Linked DNA regions of Oryza sativa Japonica Group. The protein of the gene in region 2 interacts with the protein of the main gene of each other region in a pairwise test. Links are inferred from orthologs where the notes say so. Each region holds a gene or a part of one and is shown on either strand. Other genes may lie near its edges. The genes, in order: probable N6-adenosine-methyltransferase MT-A70-like, FKBP12-interacting protein of 37 kDa and peptidyl-prolyl cis-trans isomerase FKBP12.

What was found.
Region 1: the proteins of FKBP12-interacting protein of 37 kDa (region 2) and probable N6-adenosine-methyltransferase MT-A70-like interact in binary tests that used the Arabidopsis thaliana proteins (3 or more experiments, as listed by UniProt). The link is inferred for Oryza sativa Japonica Group from reciprocal best matches to the Arabidopsis thaliana genes FIP37 and MTA.
Region 3: the proteins of FKBP12-interacting protein of 37 kDa (region 2) and peptidyl-prolyl cis-trans isomerase FKBP12 interact in binary tests that used the Arabidopsis thaliana proteins (3 or more experiments, as listed by UniProt). The link is inferred for Oryza sativa Japonica Group from reciprocal best matches to the Arabidopsis thaliana genes FIP37 and FKBP12.

What each region holds. Positions count from the first base shown.
Region 1 is NC_089036.1:27,844,935-27,850,637, reverse strand, and holds the start of probable N6-adenosine-methyltransferase MT-A70-like, read right to left. Parts: upstream 3,629-5,703; 5' UTR 3,575-3,628; coding exon 2,474-3,574; intron 642-2,473; coding exon 543-641; intron 216-542; coding exon 132-215; intron 50-131; coding exon 1-49. Other genes in the region: mitochondrial import inner membrane translocase subunit TIM23-1, read left to right, coding at 4,489-5,088. UniProt on the Arabidopsis thaliana protein: Catalytic subunit of the N6-methyltransferase complex, a multiprotein complex that mediates N6-methyladenosine (m6A) methylation at the 5'-[AG]GAC-3' consensus sites of some mRNAs.
Region 2 is NC_089040.1:16,709,684-16,714,752, forward strand, and holds the end of FKBP12-interacting protein of 37 kDa, read right to left. Parts: intron 1,856-5,069; coding exon 1,800-1,855; intron 1,460-1,799; coding exon 1,286-1,459; 3' UTR 1,080-1,285; downstream 1-1,079. UniProt on the Arabidopsis thaliana protein: Probable regulatory subunit of the N6-methyltransferase complex, a multiprotein complex that mediates N6-methyladenosine (m6A) methylation at the 5'-[AG]GAC-3' consensus sites of some mRNAs.
Region 3 is NC_089036.1:32,511,998-32,517,639, reverse strand, and holds peptidyl-prolyl cis-trans isomerase FKBP12, read left to right. Parts: upstream 1-2,471; 5' UTR 2,472-2,571; coding exon 2,572-2,659; intron 2,660-2,965; coding exon 2,966-2,999; intron 3,000-3,228; coding exon 3,229-3,290; intron 3,291-3,883; coding exon 3,884-3,936; intron 3,937-4,256; coding exon 4,257-4,358; 3' UTR 4,359-4,529; downstream 4,530-5,642. Other genes in the region: uncharacterized protein, read right to left, coding at 1-371. UniProt on the Arabidopsis thaliana protein: PPIases accelerate the folding of proteins. It catalyzes the cis-trans isomerization of proline imidic peptide bonds in oligopeptides. Mediates rapamycin inactivation of TOR protein kinase activity.

The DNA.
Region 1 (5,703 bases), on a different chromosome or scaffold from region 2:
GAGGTATATCTGGTGTTTGGTCAAGCTCGTAGTGGACATACTTGCAGGTCTACAGATTATAGGATATATGTAAGATACAAAAACACACATCATAATAGAGGAAAATACAAGGGTGTATATGCCATAGTCACCTTTGTGTGACGGCAAGTGTCGAGAAAAGAACAATCTCCTAGGTTTGTATCAGTATGAGGAGCAATAATACGGCGGAAATGGACCTGCTCAGAATGAAATATAAACAGTTACTTCCAGATTAGTTGTTACCATGAACAGCTAAAAGACCAGATAACAAAAGCTATTCAAGTATTCAAGGAAAAAAATGTGAAGATTTTGATTGGAATAAATTCAAGTAACCAGAAATAAGGCCTAATATGTTAACAGGATAATTTCATCGTCAAAGAGGCCATGATTGTGGATAGGCACATCATTTTAAGTGATTGAATCAAACACAACAGGTTTTGCTCTACTGTTGTTAAAAGTAGACAAAATGTAACGTGCGGAAGTACACATTGTGAAAAGGGGTGCAGGACACTATCACCACAGACCTTATCACAGGCAACAAAAGATCCACTTTGGCGTCGGCAATCTTCTTTAGTTAAGTTGGTACAATATTCCTTCAGCTGGGAACCACCTTTTGTTTTAAACTGCATGAACATAAAACCATATTAACAAAACAAGATGAATGATTTTCATGTCAACCATATTATTACAATTAAATGTGTAAGAACTGGAAGAGTGGAAGTTATAAGTGTCGAGAGGTTGACAATATATAGGCAATGCAGATGGGTCAAACAACATTTAACAGTTTTACTTTGACAGTCGCACTAATTCAGTGCAGAATCTAAGCAATTTATGATAAACCGTTCATTATAGCAGTGTGCCTCCGACAACTAGCTGTTATGCGTCCTATGATAGTTTTAACAACAGCAATGCATAAGTAGACCAGCTCACAGGGGCGGGCCCAGAGGGTAGTCCAGGTAGGCCCAGGACTACCCTAGAATTTGGCCTAGAGAAGATCAGGTATTTATTTTTTCTTGGCCCATGAAAAAAGCCTGGCCCAACAAACAAAAAAAACCCTAAGTCTCTTCTCTGTTCTCTCCTGTGCACTCTCCCCTCCCGACCGACCAACGGCGACAGCGCTCCCTCGAGCCGCGAGGCCGGCGCAACTCCGGCGCTCCCACCGTCCGGTGAGGCCGCTACTCACGCCGCCGCTCCTCCCGCCGCGTCCGTCGGTCGGCGGCCTCCCGGCTCACGCCAGGCGCACGCCCATCCGTGGCGGCAACGCCGCTGCCTTCGCGCGCCGCGCCGGCGCCCCCGCGGCCGCGCCATCTCCGCGACTCTGCCCCTGGCCGGCTGGCCGCGCCCTCTCCGTCTCACGTCCGGCCGTTGCCCAGCGGCCTCCCGAGCTCCCGGCTCCCGCGGTCCCGGCGTCCTGCCCGACGCCGCCAGCGCCCAGCCGCCCCTGCTGTAGTTGGCTCACTCATTTCTTAGTGAGCAGGTTGGAACCCAATCAAAACACAAACTTCTATATAGATTTATCAAGACTGAACTTATACAAGGTCACACAACTACACAGGTCTGCTGCAACTCTCGACAGCACACACGGCAAAGAAAACAGCAGCAACGCCACCTGAGAGGCTGAGACAGCAACGAAGAAAATGCAAGTCCAGGAGCGAAATCACAAGGCAAGGCTTGGATGGATTTCCTTGGCAAAAAACATACCGTACTCTTACAGACAGCAGGCAGCAAACCAGATGCAACTAATCACCAAAAAAAAACATGGATCAACCTCATCTCTTCAGGACTACCTCTGGACCATGATTCACTGCAGTCTGCAAACCAGCATTCCACATTAACTCGTGTTGCTAGGGATTGCAAGAAAATCAAGCAGGATCGTCCTGCTCTGATACCATGCTGTAAATTTTGGATGATTTGGACCTGGTGTCCCCCATCTCCTTGTATGCAATGGTCTTTACATTTAGTCCCTAAACATATACATATTCACTAAGACACATAACTCAACAGGGGTCAATTGAAACTGAAGAAGAACCGCCGCTGCTTTATGATGTTGATGATATTGAACATGATCCAGGCTTAAGGGCTTCTATTTCAAGTTTTGATGCCAACGATCAAGATGCGGCTAGAAGAGGGTACATTCTAAAAGGTCCATGCCAACTTTGGACCATTTAGGTAAGATTCAAACTTATTTGTTATTTTCTACTTGTATTGAACCATTTAGAGTTATATACCGTATCGTTTACCACATTTTATATCGAATCATATTGTATTGCATTCAGATTTTTTTTTTTGCTAGGCCTACCCTGGGTTCAAATCCTAGGTCCGCCACTGCCAGCTCATTTACTACTACAGGACTAACAGTGTGAGACTACATCAATAACAAATCAGCAACCCAAAGCATCACTAACTACACAGTGCAAACAACAAAACCACTAGCATAGGTGAAGGGAAAACAGACCTTCGCTGCCACAGCCGTCTCCTTCGCCGTGGGCCGGTGAATGAGATCTAAAAGTTCCTCCCCGGTCTTGGTGTTCTGCTTCTCTCTATATGTCTTTTTGTTCAGCAGCAACTCAAGATCCTTAAGTTCGTCCTCCTCGCTCTTCTGCTTCTGCTGGTTAGGGCTAGGCCCCACACCCCCACCCATTGTGATAACTCCAGCTGGTCCCATGAATGGCCGCTGCAGCGGCATCAACCCTGGTGGCACGCCGGGCACCCTCTGCATCCCCTGCATCGTCATGCCCCTTGGCCGTGGGAATATCGGAGGCATCGAATGCGGCCACATATCCGGCTGCGGCTGCTGCTGCTGCGGTGTTCTTGGTATCATTGCGCTGCCGGCATCGGTCTCAGAGGGGGGCATCTGGGGGGCTGGAGGAGGTTGGAGTAGCGGCAAAGTAGCGGATTCTGGCAGCTCCTTGAGGAGCTTGTTCCGGTCGATGGCCCAGACCATCGTCATCGACTTGCCCCCAATCATGGCCTCCTCGATCTGCACACCGCCGGTGTCCTCGGCTATGCGGCGGAGGGCGAGGACTACAGCGGAGGCCGCCGAGCCGCCGAGTTCGGCGGCTAGGTCAGCGAGAGCAGTCCGCTCGGCCTCGCTGGCGGATGAGCTCTCCGCCTGCAGGCGGCGGGCGAGCGCGGCGGCGTCGATCTCGGCGAAGGGGACGAGCTCCAGGAGGCACACGGCGACCATGGTGCGCACGGCGTCGAGGCCGCCGGGGGCAGCGGCGACGGAGGCAGGGGAGGATCCGGGCGAGGTCTTGCGGCGGGTGGAGCGCGCCGGGTCAGGGAGGGCGCGGCGGTGGTGGGGCTTGAGGGCGGCGGGGCTCTTACCGTGGCCGCCGTCGGGGTTCGGGGTGGGGACGAAGGGGCGGTCGTTGAAGGCGGCGATGATGCGGAGCGAGCGGTCGAGGGAGGGGACGAGGTCGGGGACGAGGCGCTGGAGCGATGCGACGAGGCCCATCTGCGTCTCCCGGCGGAAGCCGATGGCCTCCTCCAGGCTCCGGCACTGCTCCCGCATGGCGGCGAGGTCGTCGCCGCCGGCGTCCGCCTGCGCCTCCATTGCTGTTGCGGCTGCGGCGGAGAGGTCACGGGGGTTTGGGGGTCTTGCAACTCTAGATCGAGCTTGACACGACGCGATACGGCCTTGTTTGTGCAGCTACGTGGCGCTTGCACGGCCCGGCCTGTTATAAAGTCGAGCCCATTTGAGAAAGGGGACGCGGTGGCGGGCCCAATAGCTGGCCGAAAGCAGACAAGTTAACCTGCCACCTCAGCGAAAACCACTCTTACAATAATCTATGAAGTCAAATTACACCACAGCCTCATCTTTTTCTTTTGCTTATGCTTATCAGCCAAAATTTAAATTTTCAACTCTCAATTTGGAGTTGATTTTTGGGTTTTTTTTCATCGAAGTTTATTTTTCAGTCTTTACTTTTAGATCGCTAAAAACACGTGTATAAAAATTTTATTCACAAACTGTTTTTCGTTTGCAAATACTATGTTCTCTTATTCCACGACGGAGCCAGTTTCAAATATCTTTGCGATTAAGGAATTCAAATAAACTGGACTTATATTTTGAGGGAGTCCTACTGGACTTATTCCGCCTAGCCCCTTGCGTGCACAGTTGTGTGGAGGCCGAGAGGAGGCGGAGGGAGGCCGCGCTGGCAGACCACTTACTTGAAGGCCGACACCCACGGCCCACCTCACCGGCCCACACCCTCTTTTCTCAATCGGAAGTCGGAACCGTGGCGTCGCGTTGTGGTTCCTTTTCCTACTGGGTTTCGAGTCCGCATCTCGCACGGCTCCGCCCTCCCCCTTTTCTTCGGCGACACGGCGAAGGCGCAGACTGCAGATCGGAGACCACTCCCCTCTCTTAAACCCCCGGCACACGGCGGCGGCAACCAAAACCGATCGTCCAGAAACCCAGAAGGCACGCAGCGGCAGCAGCAGCCCACGGCAACCCTAGATCAGCCAGCCATGTCCCGCGCCGTTGACGCCCAGCAGGAGCCCACGGAAGGGCGCCGCTTCTACTCGCCGGATCGCCCCGAGGGCCTCGCCTTCCCCACCTCGTACCGCGCGCTCTACGACCTGCCCACCTCGCCGGAGTGCCTCTTCGAGGAGGACAAGTTCCGGCAGACCCGCACCTGGGGCGAGAACCTCACGTTCTACACCGGCGTCAGCTACCTCGCCGGCGCCACGTCCGGCGCGCTCGTGGGCCTCCGCCGCGCCGCCGCCGAGGCCGAGCGCGGGGAGTCCGCCAAGCTGCGCATCAACCGCGCCCTCAACCAGAGCGGCTCCGTCGGCCGCGCCTTCGGCAACCGGTTCGGCATCGTCGCGATGCTCTTCGCCGGGACCGAGAGCTTCGTCCGCGACCAGCGCGACGGCGCCGACGACTGGGTCAACACCGTCGCCGCGGGGGCCAGCGCCGGGGCGCTCTACCGCATCGCGTCCGGCCCAAGGTCGATGATCGTCGCCGGCATCCTCGGCGGAGTCCTGTCCGGCGCAGCTGTCGCGGGTAAGCCGATGCTTCAGAGATTCGCGCCGAAGCTATCCGCCAGATTGGATTATTTACGCTGAGTAAAATTTCAGGCTGAATTACTACTCAACATGGTGTGCGCCTGGAGAAGTTTTTATTCGTAGTATCTAGCTAGCAACTCTGATCTCAATTAATAGTTTGTAACTGTTCATATTTGGTGTCCTGCAAATTAATGGACAAAAAAATGCTAATCTTTTCGTTGAGAATCATATTTATACTAATACTATATACACTTTAAAAAATAAAACATAGTGGTGACGGTAACTCCATCCCTAACCGACCAATCGTTAGATCTTGATATGGGTCGGTTCATATACATCACGCACTTCAATCTTGGCAGACACGCCGATTCTTCAACTAATCGTTAGATCTCGGTATCGGATGCATATCCTTCCCACGAAGCTGAGTGCAATTTATTTGCCAGGTTGAACTACTACTCAATGTGGAGTTCCTGCCTCTCCCACGAAGCTGAGTGCAATTTGTTTATCAGGTTGAATTACTACTCAATGTGATCTCAGGAAAAGTTTTTATTCCTAGTATCTATAGGAAAGTGATCTTAATCTCGAGCTTAATCGTCCATGGCCAATGCCGGATTCATAGTTCATATATTTTTCATATTTGTGTTGTTATTCGTGAAGTTTGATTTCACTATATGT
Region 2 (5,069 bases):
CCCTAAGTTCCTCCATTCAAGTTTAAGTTTCAGTGTTTGCATTTATGGCTATTTCAATCTATGATACTCACGAGTGCTTGTAAGGATAAGATATACACCCACAAAACGTGGTCTGGCATATATGTTTGGTATAGTGAAGTAAACATGACGTTTTCACTCAGCACAGGGCTCAATAAAACTTGGCACAATTATATATTTTTAGGGACTTGCATTGAGCTGAAATGCTCAGATTTCCTTTCAAACGACAAAATCTGATCTCAACAGAAACCATTATGTTCTCCAAATCCATCTCTTTTCCGTGCTAGCTCATCCTACTTCAGATCTCCATCATCATGCAAATCCTTCCTTCACCGAACACATCTTCCCCTGATCTACCCCGACTAGGGTTTAGGATTCGACAACCCCTTCTGTTTCAGGCACCGGCGGAATTCGGAATTTCGCGAAATCCGGTAGAAAACCGGTAAATTTCGAACAAATTTCATAAACCAAAATTTGAATACAAATTCCATGAGTTTGCCGACAAGTTCTCGAAAACTGGTCGGTTTTGGTGAAATTCCGATCGAAATCATCGAAATTTCGATCAGTAAGTGTTTCCCTTTTTTTAATTACGGTCGGTTTTGGCCCATGTAAGTGTTTTTCTTTTTTTAATTCTTTATTTTTTTTCTTTCCTAATGTAAGTTTCAGTAAATACACACAATACATCATTTGTTTTCGAAAATTTATATCCCAATAGATTCTATGAATACCATAATATTTATAAGATTTTATTTTATTTTATTTTATTTTCTTTTTTATCAATTCAAATTTAAATTTGGATAAAACTTCTCGAAATCTCATACGGTTTCTACTTTCAAGCCCTGTCGAAACATCAAAATTTCATGAAATCCGGTCGGATACGCAGCACATATTTCTTACTTTCTTAAATTTACATGAATAGCCGGCTACCGAGATACAAAGTTTACAAAAGTACTGCTTAGATCATGGGTCATCCATTTCATATGTATTCTGGATGTTTAAAACGGAAACTGTGCTGTAACGGTGCAAAAAGCATAGGATACCGAGTACAAGAGGAAGCTCACTGACGCACGAACTAAGAGAGTTTAGATTCAAGGTAAGTAGGTAACACGTCTCATGCTGCAGTGCTCAGACAAAGCGCAATGCAAATCGGCAAGAATAAACGACATTAGATAAATTACACAAGTAAACACTTCTGATACATGATACAAAAAATAATAAGAATGTTGAGAACGCAAGCTACTCTAGAAATGACTGCTGAAGGCGTAGCTTATGTTTCTACTTTTATTGGCTGACTCTCGGCGGCAGCAACTATATCATCTCCAGCGACGTCATTTTCTTGAGGTATTTTGTTCTCATCAGTTGCTTCTTTCTGGGCAAGCATCTCCTTCAATCTTCTCAGCTCTACATCTTTTGTTTCTAACTCATCTTGAAGAATGGCCACCTGTGAACGGGTTGTAAGTGAAATGTTATTTTACTCCCTCCGGGTTGATAATACTTGTTGTTTTGGAAAAGGGCACGGTCTCAAAAAAAAACAACTTTGATCATTATTTTTCATTATAATATGTATAAAAGTGTCAACAAATATATGATCTTATTAAAGTACTTTTTAAGACTAATCTATACATGTAGTCACCATATTTGAAAAACAAATATTTTAAAAATGATTTATAATCAAAGACTCTAAAGTTTGACCTCACCTTTGTCTAAAACGACAAGTATTATCAGCCCGGAGGGAGTAATAAACAGAAGAGACTTACAGTGGTAGAAATGATGAAACTTACCATTTCATTTGATCTTTCAACGTCATTTGTTAGACCATCCATGTGTTTATACAGCTCTGAAGACAACAGAAGGATGGTCAAATAACTCAATATTAGCAAAACTAGTGTTCAGTAAGAGCAGAAGGCATTGACTTCATAATAGGTTGGTAAATTAGAATATCTAATGGATCCATATTGACATATGTTAGACTTGCCATATAGGTTTACAAGTTCTAACCAAAAGAACAAAGATGACTAATCCTTAAAGTATATGCCTGATTATCCCTGGCACTAATTCCTAATTGATTCTAGGATGTGCAGCCAGTTCCGCTGAATTTATGTGATGCTTTCAATGAATTAAAAAGTAATGTTGTTTGCAGGTAGACTAAAACATAATATATTGAGAATAATTCAGACAATGAAATACAATTTCAAACAATTTCTTGGGGGAAACAAGCTGGCTACTGGTTTCTTGGTAGTATTCAGGATTTCCGTTCAATCAAGAACTCAGTTCACATCAATATAGTCCCTCAAGAGGAAACTTAGAGAAGTGAAGTTTCACCATTTTTTTAGTATGTTTTTAGAAGCCGCCTAATGAAGTAGATAGGTGCAAAATGTGTGCCTTACCTAAATTTAGTAACTTGAACATATCTGAATTTGTTTGGTCTGAAACCCCCAGCAAACCTCACAAAAAGTTTTGGTTATACTTCAAAAGCTTGGCTGTCATTTGGTTTGAAGCCAACGAATTTGGTGATGGCAACATTTTTAAAATCTAAGAAAATCTAACACCATGTTTGAGCAATCCATGGGAGGCCAAATGCTCACCCCAGCTCCCAAACTTCAATTATCCACAAATAGGTACAGCCATGAGACAATGTACCTTACGGGCGTTGGATCTGGCTGTGCCCAGATCTTGCCATTACCAAAAGATTGGTTTTGGTTGGCTGGAGACATTACAAACCTCTCCACAGTTAACAAAATTTGGTAAAGTTCACATGTACAACTTCAGCAAGGACCATGATACCGTAGCCCATTGATGCTACAGTAGGACCATTATAAACTAGTACAAGGCTAACACAAGCAATAAAAGATAAAAACAAGAATCTTTTGAGAATGTCAACAGACAGCATCACATGTCATTTCAAAAGCTGCATGTGGAACATGTAGAAAGTAATAATACTTATGGTCTTAATTGGTCGATCTAGGGTACTTGTAAGAGATTCAACCTCTGATATGATAGCACATTTATGGTTTGCTGCAGAGACTGCTATGAACATACTTTAATTCTAAATCTATAAGCCATGAAATATTAGACAGACTGAACACAATACAACCACGAAACAATCCCAGCATTCAGAGCCAATGCACTACGAGTACACTGGAAATTTCGTATAATGTGAGTACAGGAGACATGTCGCATCGCATCCTCATTTGGAATGATAACAACCTTGAAAATCCCATTCAGAAATCAAAACAGCTTCAGGAAGCCATGATTGGATATCACAATTGCTAGTTTGTTTTGGTCAAATGGAATCCTCATATACTCCTAGATTAACAAGGCCAAAAATACAAACGGTACTAATTGTAATATTAGGAATTAGGATAACATACACATGCACACAGCTACAAAACATAGACCTGGTAAGTTCTAACTTCAAATGAAATCAGGTGTAAATATTTATCAATGTGTCCAAACATCAAAGCACGAAAGACTGCCAAAGGCAAACAAAAACTCAGGGTATGTGAGATTTTCTTCTTCTTATCAATGTTAGTTTCATTAGCTTACTAGTTGGACTGCATATTCTAAACATGTGCATAAGCATATGCAACCTGAAATTCTTTTAGTTTAGCTTACTAGTTGGCTGCTTCTGCTATCAGCTGAGTACTAGAATTTTTAAGGCAAAATTGGTTTTAGAGCACCGAAAGTTCACATTCTTGTTTCTATAGCACCGAAAGTTACCGGTTCACTTTAATAGCACTGAAAATTGCCTCCGTTCCCCATTTTAGCACTTCCGTTAGTTTTCTACCGTTTGCCGTCAAAATTTTCCCCCCTCTCGAATCGGTTGCGCCATGGCAGCATCGTCCTGCCATACTGCCGGTAGTGGAAGAAGAGATGGCACAGCACGTGTAATCCTTCCACTGCTGGCCCCATCGCCTTGGATCGCTGCTCACCCTTGCTGGACCGATTGCTTGTCGTGAGTCATGACGACCAGTTCATCAGCTCTTCGGTGATGTGTCTCCAGCAGACTCACGTCCATCGCCGGTACCATTGATCCCCATCAATCCTCAATCCTGCATTCCTGCTAACAGGAACCCTCACCGGCATAATGCAACCATGGCCGGCGGAGTAGACGCAACGGCTTGCACGCACTAATTGATGTGCAGAACCGCGGAGTACTGTTGGGAGTGATGCAGCGAGGGGCTCCACGACTCATCTTGCGGCGTTGTGATTCCTTTTGAATGCAGATACTGCCAGTGAATCAAGAAGCCATTTTTCCCCTTCTTTCTTGCAGTACACATGTACAACCAGATTAGATTATACTCCATCAGTTAGTTTCCTACAGAAAGAGTATTAAGTTATCATTCGCTCGGTTGTTGCCTCCACGGTTGGCACCGGCAGATGGGCACCAGTACGACCAGCACCAGCCAGCAAAGCAGCGGGCAGAGGCTAAGGTCACCGCCGGCGAGACCTAGGGTCCGGACTGGTTGATCTCCATGATCTGGAGATTGGCTGAGCCATACAAGTCGACGTTGATGGCAAACAGAGAAAATTGACGGAGTGCCAAAAATGAGAACGGAAGAAACATTAGGATGCTATTAAAGTGAACAAGTAACTTTTGGTGCTATAAAACCAAATTTATGAACTTTCATTGCTCTAAAACCAATTTTGCCAATTTTTAATGATGGGATTCTGTAGACTAAAGAATGCAAAATAACTTCACATCCATTCTGTTTGATACTCACTGTAAGGGAAGAAACTTCTCCCCTTCTTTCCATGCTACTAATATTAAGCGTAAAATTCTTGTCTAATGAAAGATGATCAAGCCATCAGCTCTAAACATCTGTTTTCCCATATAGGCATTCAACGCTTTATGAACCTCAATAGTTCCTATAGTTAAGGGCTACACGCTAGTATAAAATTCACTACATTGTGCAACCAATATTAAACAGGAGGATGAATTAGTCTAGAGTTGAAACAATGTACGTAGTGAGCTAAGAATATAAAGTAGTTGTCCAAATTAATCATCAATGGGCAAAATGGGAAGAAAGGATTATAAAGTACTATCTCTA
Region 3 (5,642 bases), on a different chromosome or scaffold from region 2:
ACGAGGCCAACCCTGTCGCCGTCCTTGTCGAAGTAGCCGAAATCCAGCACGAAGTCGACGGACAGGTCCCCCGTCGTCAGCAACTCCCGCGGCGTGATGCGTCGCATGTCGTCGCCGTCGAGGGCGGGAGGGTGGTGGTGGCAGTCTCCATCGGCGGCGCCGAGGAAGACGGCGCGCGCGCCGGGGGCGAGCAGGCCCTCGCGGCGGAGGTCGCGGAGCAGGAGCCCCACCTGGAGCGCGTCCCCGGCGGGGGCCTCGGCATCGCGGAGCCAGGCCAGGGAGAGCAGCGCGACGGCGAGGAGCACCGAGCGCGCGATCACGCGGAGGACGCGCGGGTCCGGGAGCCGGATCACCACGCAGCCGTCCGGCATCTGAGCGAGCGAGCGAGAGAGAGAGCTATACCGCACAGAGACGGTGGCGAAGACGAAGAGGATGATGAGTCTTCCGGCGAGGGAGGGGGGGATTAGCGGGTGCAGAAGCGGGCGGCGGTGTGGTTGCCACCCACGAGGGCGAGGCGGGCGTGCGGCGCGCGGAGCGTGAGGAGGAGGAGGTGACGGATCCGCTCGGTCTCCATGGAGGCGACGCGCCCTGCCTCACCCGCCTCGGGCCGGTGGGAGAGATCGATCCGGCGTTAGGTCTCCATCGGCGGCGGCCGCCGGTGGGGGGGAGAGATCGGCTACGGAATTTGGGAGGTTTTCGTGGGAAGAATTGGGAGGGTGCGGGTGGATGGCGATGAGCGGCGGCGCGCCGGGTGTGTCCCCGTGTTTATGGGGGCGGTACCGCGCTAGGTTGGGTGGCTTCGGAACGGTCCGGTGGGAAGCGAGCGGTCCGGTCGGGGGCACAGTGGGGGACTGGGGATGGATGGTTTGCGACAGTATCTGGTCTGGTGGAGTTGTAACAGCTCGGGAAAATCAGCAATATTATAAATCGTTAGATTAGCATATACTCCCTCGTCTAATAATATAAGAAATTTTGATTGTATAAGATATATCCTAGTTTAGATTCATAGTATGAAAAGAGTACAATAAAAGTGTTTTTAATGTGTTTGCATTATAAGCGTACATCTACAATAAAAGTTTTTTTAATGTGTTTGTATTATGAGCGTCTGCGTTTACACAATAGAAGTTATTAATCATGCATTGATCATTGTATATTTGTATTGTACCATGGTGCAGTTAATTTTAGAGAAAAAATTCAAAGAAAAACTAGCGATCCAAACCAATATATTGGTGTTGATACTTGTTCTACCACCATAACGATATATTGGTGTTGGACGTGCTAGTGTGTTTTGAACAAGATTTTTTTAGCGAGGTTAAAAATCCCATATTCAAGCCTTGTTACTTCTTTCTTAGGTTAAGCACATCATTTATTAATATTGCCATCTATTACTGGATAGGATACATCATAGTACTACGAATCGGATACATCACTATATTATATAGTACTAAATTGTTATATTATGGGATGGAGAGAGTATTCTATAACACACATTTTGTTTTCTCATAAGCAATTATCATTTCTTCTTTTGTTATGACGATCAAGCAAGAGAGATTACATGAGAGGCATCATATGTTGTTATTAGGAAGATTATGGGTTGTTTGGTTGATACCTAACTTTGACATAACTAAGGTTAGACAAGTAATATGTCTAAGAAATAGTTGGTTATAGCCCGCAGGGGGGATTTACAATTATGACATTGCAAACATTAACCTTTGCTATAATAACACTAGGCTCACATTTTATAGACACAGATGGACCCATTTGTCATCCACTCGGAGTGTCAAAACAGCGAAGCTCTCGTGTTTGCAGTCCCAATATTACAAATTTCTCGCCCGCATGTGTGATATGTTTAGTTACAAATTTGAAAGTGCGGGTAGGTCTTAAGAGTAAGAAAGTGTGCATAATTGTGAAGTGAAACAATCACATGACTAAATAATCGTGATATGACTAAAGTGTGGTATGGTAAAGTGAGACAACCAACCCATCACCCCCTTAGTCAATGGCCGGTCAGCAGCTTAATACGGCATTTGTAGCCTCACGACTAATATTGTATGGTTCTTTTAATAGGTTTTTCATAGGACGACACAAAATATATTTTTCGAGATCGTTATAGGAATGTAACAAAATATCGTACGCATAGTATTTTCCGTTATGTTTACCGTTATGTTTATGTTATTCCAGTTTCTTTCCCATGTTTTTATTTTTTGAGCGGTTTCCCATGTTTTTATGGTTGTGCGCAACCTATATACGTAGAGGTCGGATGCAATTTTATTGCGAAAAAAAAGAAGAAAACCATTGAAGCTGGACCGTAGGACTGAAAAGATCGTCTCTCCATCCAACGGCCCAGGAGACGCCGGAACAATTACACCACCAGAAAGTCGTGTAATAAAAAAAAGTAGTGGATTGGTGGTGTAATAAAAAAGGAATCTACTAGCGCTCTATAAGGGCGAGCCGCACGGCACCACCAATCCACCACTGATCATACTAGCACAGAGCGCCGCCGCCGAGGAGAGTCCAATCGAGAAGAAGGGAGGAGAGGCAAGCGGAGAGGAAGAAGAAGAAGAAGAGAGGATGGGCTTCGAGAAGACGATCCTGAAAGCCGGCACCGGTCCCAAGCCCGTCAAGGGCCAGAAGGTCACCGTCCACTGCACCGGCTTCGGTTCGCCGCTTTCCTCCCTCCCTATCTCCCCCAGAACATTTCCTTTCATGCTTTTTCTTTTCTTGGATCCGTGCGTGTGCTTAGCTGAATCAACCTGAGCGGTAAGAACAAGGTGGTTCGTTCCCAGATCCATTTCTTGTTGGATCTCATGTTTGATGCCAGGATTGTCTTTTGGATAGATGGTTTAGATTCAAATCGCAGCTGCTAGTTTACCTCTGTCCGGTTTGTGGATAGATTTCTGAGTTTCTGTTTTGGAGTAGTTAAGCCTAACTTGGTTTCCTTGCCATGCTGCTTTCTTTTCTGCAGGGAAAGATAATGATCTCGCTAAGAAGTTTTGGAGGTACAAAAACTATCCTTTTTCTTTTCTTGTTCTGTTGTAACTTGGATGGCGCGTCGCGTGGCGTTGGTTCAGCCAATGCTGTGTATTTGTTGTTTATGGGTAGAAAATTTATCGTTAGACCTCACAAATCAAAATTCTTGGAGGTAATTTTGGATAAAGTTATTTTCCCCCAAAAATATTCAGACAAGATAGAAATTTCATCTGATGTTGTGTCCTTTGTTTCTCTCAGCACAAAGGACGCAGGCCAGGAGCCATTCAGTTTCAATATAGGCCAGGGTTCGGTGATCAAAGGTAATCTCATCTCAAATAACTATTCAATTCATACACAATGATTCTGCCAGTTGGTAATCGGTGCATATGTTCCTAGATTCTGTGGTTACATGGTGGAAACAAAAAAAAAGTTGTTATCTCATCAAGGGATTAATCATCTAGTTATCCCGATTGCCAATTTCATTTTATTTCACGAAAGTAGTTCCTCGCATTGACTAATGATGAATAAGAACATGAGATCACTGCTGTTTGTGATTTTTTTTCAATTGTACAGTTGAGATTATCTAATCAGATTTATGATATAGCTAGAAAGGTGCACTGTTTGCCTTCACTGTTTATGTTGCATTTAGTTTGATCATAACTTGCCAGTTGTGTCTTCTCGTTATGATGACACACTCTCATGTATCCTTGATTTATTCTGGTTGCTATATAAACTGGTGTAAGGCATATTCGAACTGCAATACTGTATTTCTGTTGCTGTATAAACTTGTACTATTATTTTAGAAGTTCACCATACATTTCCAAGAACCAATCAAAGTCATATCACATCCCAAGCATTGACAAATCAAGTTGACTCTTTCGATTGAGGTATAACACTACTCTCTTGCTTATAGGATGGGACGAGGGAGTTATGACCATGCAAGTGGGTGAAGTTGCTCGTATTCAGGTATGCAGCGCTTGGGTTTCACACGTGTCTAAATTAATGTCTGCAAGTTTGTTTCTGGTTTGTTTTAGCGTCTATGTGTCTGCAAGTTTGTTTTAGCGCGATAAATCCTTTGCTGATTTATTCGGCATCTACTGTAAAATTTCCTGTTGCTTTGAAGTGCTTAAATGCCGAAGTGTTCAAATGAGCTTGAACTAAAGGGCTTTTTTACCTTTGCAAAATGTCAAGCTGTACCTATTTCCTGAGAATCCGTCTGTATATCATACTATTGTTATATTTGCTTTGCTTTCTGGCACCTGGCATTCTGATTGTTCTTGTTGCAGTGCACCCCGGATTATGCGTATGGAGCTAGTGGGTTTCCGGCCTGGGGAATTCGACCAAACTCAGTGCTGGTGTTCGAGATTGAGGTTCTTAGCGCCCAGTAAACGCATCATGTAATTCCGGATGGATCTAAAATTCCATGAGTACTGAAATAATTGTAACGTCACAACACTGCTGCGTGCTACCGCTGGAATGTTCTATGTTATTGACCAAGTAACGTTACACCATCGTCTATGGACACGATAATAAGTTTCGGGCCGTACATTTTCGTATTACTTTTGCTGAATTCGTCGTCTCTTTGTTATAACAAGTTTCATGCCGTTACCTTGTTGCATTACTTTGACTGAGACGGCAGTGGCAATGTGGCATACTGGCATGATATGTTCAGGTAAGCAGAAGGCCGTGTGGTGGTGAACTGGTGATGCTCAACCGGTGACGCCTCTAATTGGCAGTTCATTCCAAACTTATCCAAAATAGTTTATTTCGTACTGATGCAGCCAAATTTTGAATATTTAAACTAACTTTAAATTAAACTAGGTGGTTTTGCATCAAAGCCTTGGCTTTCAAACGGCGAAAAGTTACAGAAATCAATATTTTTAGTTGCTCTGTTTATTTTTCTTGGTATGTGCTCACTTTGTTTCCTAGCCAAACTCAAAACTTTTTTAGATTTGATCAAATTTACAAAAAAAAATATACATCTATAACACCAAATTAGTTTCACTAAATGTAATGTTGAATATATTGTGATAGTACATTTTGTGTTGAAAATGTAATTATGCCTTTCTATAATTTTGGTTATAAACTTTTTAAATTTGTTTAGGAATAAAATCAAACCAAATTAGTTTCACTAAATGTAATATTGAATATATTCTGATAGTACATTGTGTTGAAAATGTAATTATGCCTTTCTATAATTTTGGTTATAAACTTTTTAAATTTGTTTAGGAATAAAATCAAAGCTTATAATATAAGAGAGTAATAATTAGCTCAACCATTAAGGCAGGAGAAATATATGACGCTGAGCACCTATCAAAACATTTTGGAATCAGCCCGAAAACATACTCCATGAACTTCGCCAGAATCTCTAGCATAGTGGCATGTAGCTTTGCCTTTCACTAGCTCGACCACCATTACTATACTATACAAGCCGTCACGAACAATCAATTGTCCCGTCCATACATTAGAAGAAAATAATTTCTATCAACGAGTCATCGACCTCGAAACACTAACATTGGCAATTGTGTGAGCACAGATAGATGCTATCGATGATCTAACCTAAAGCATCACTTAAACTACACTACCTACAGTGCAGTCCAATTTTTCAATGCAGACCATCCCACAGGCAGCAGAAGCATACTTGAACCAGGTTTAACCAGCAAAGTATCATT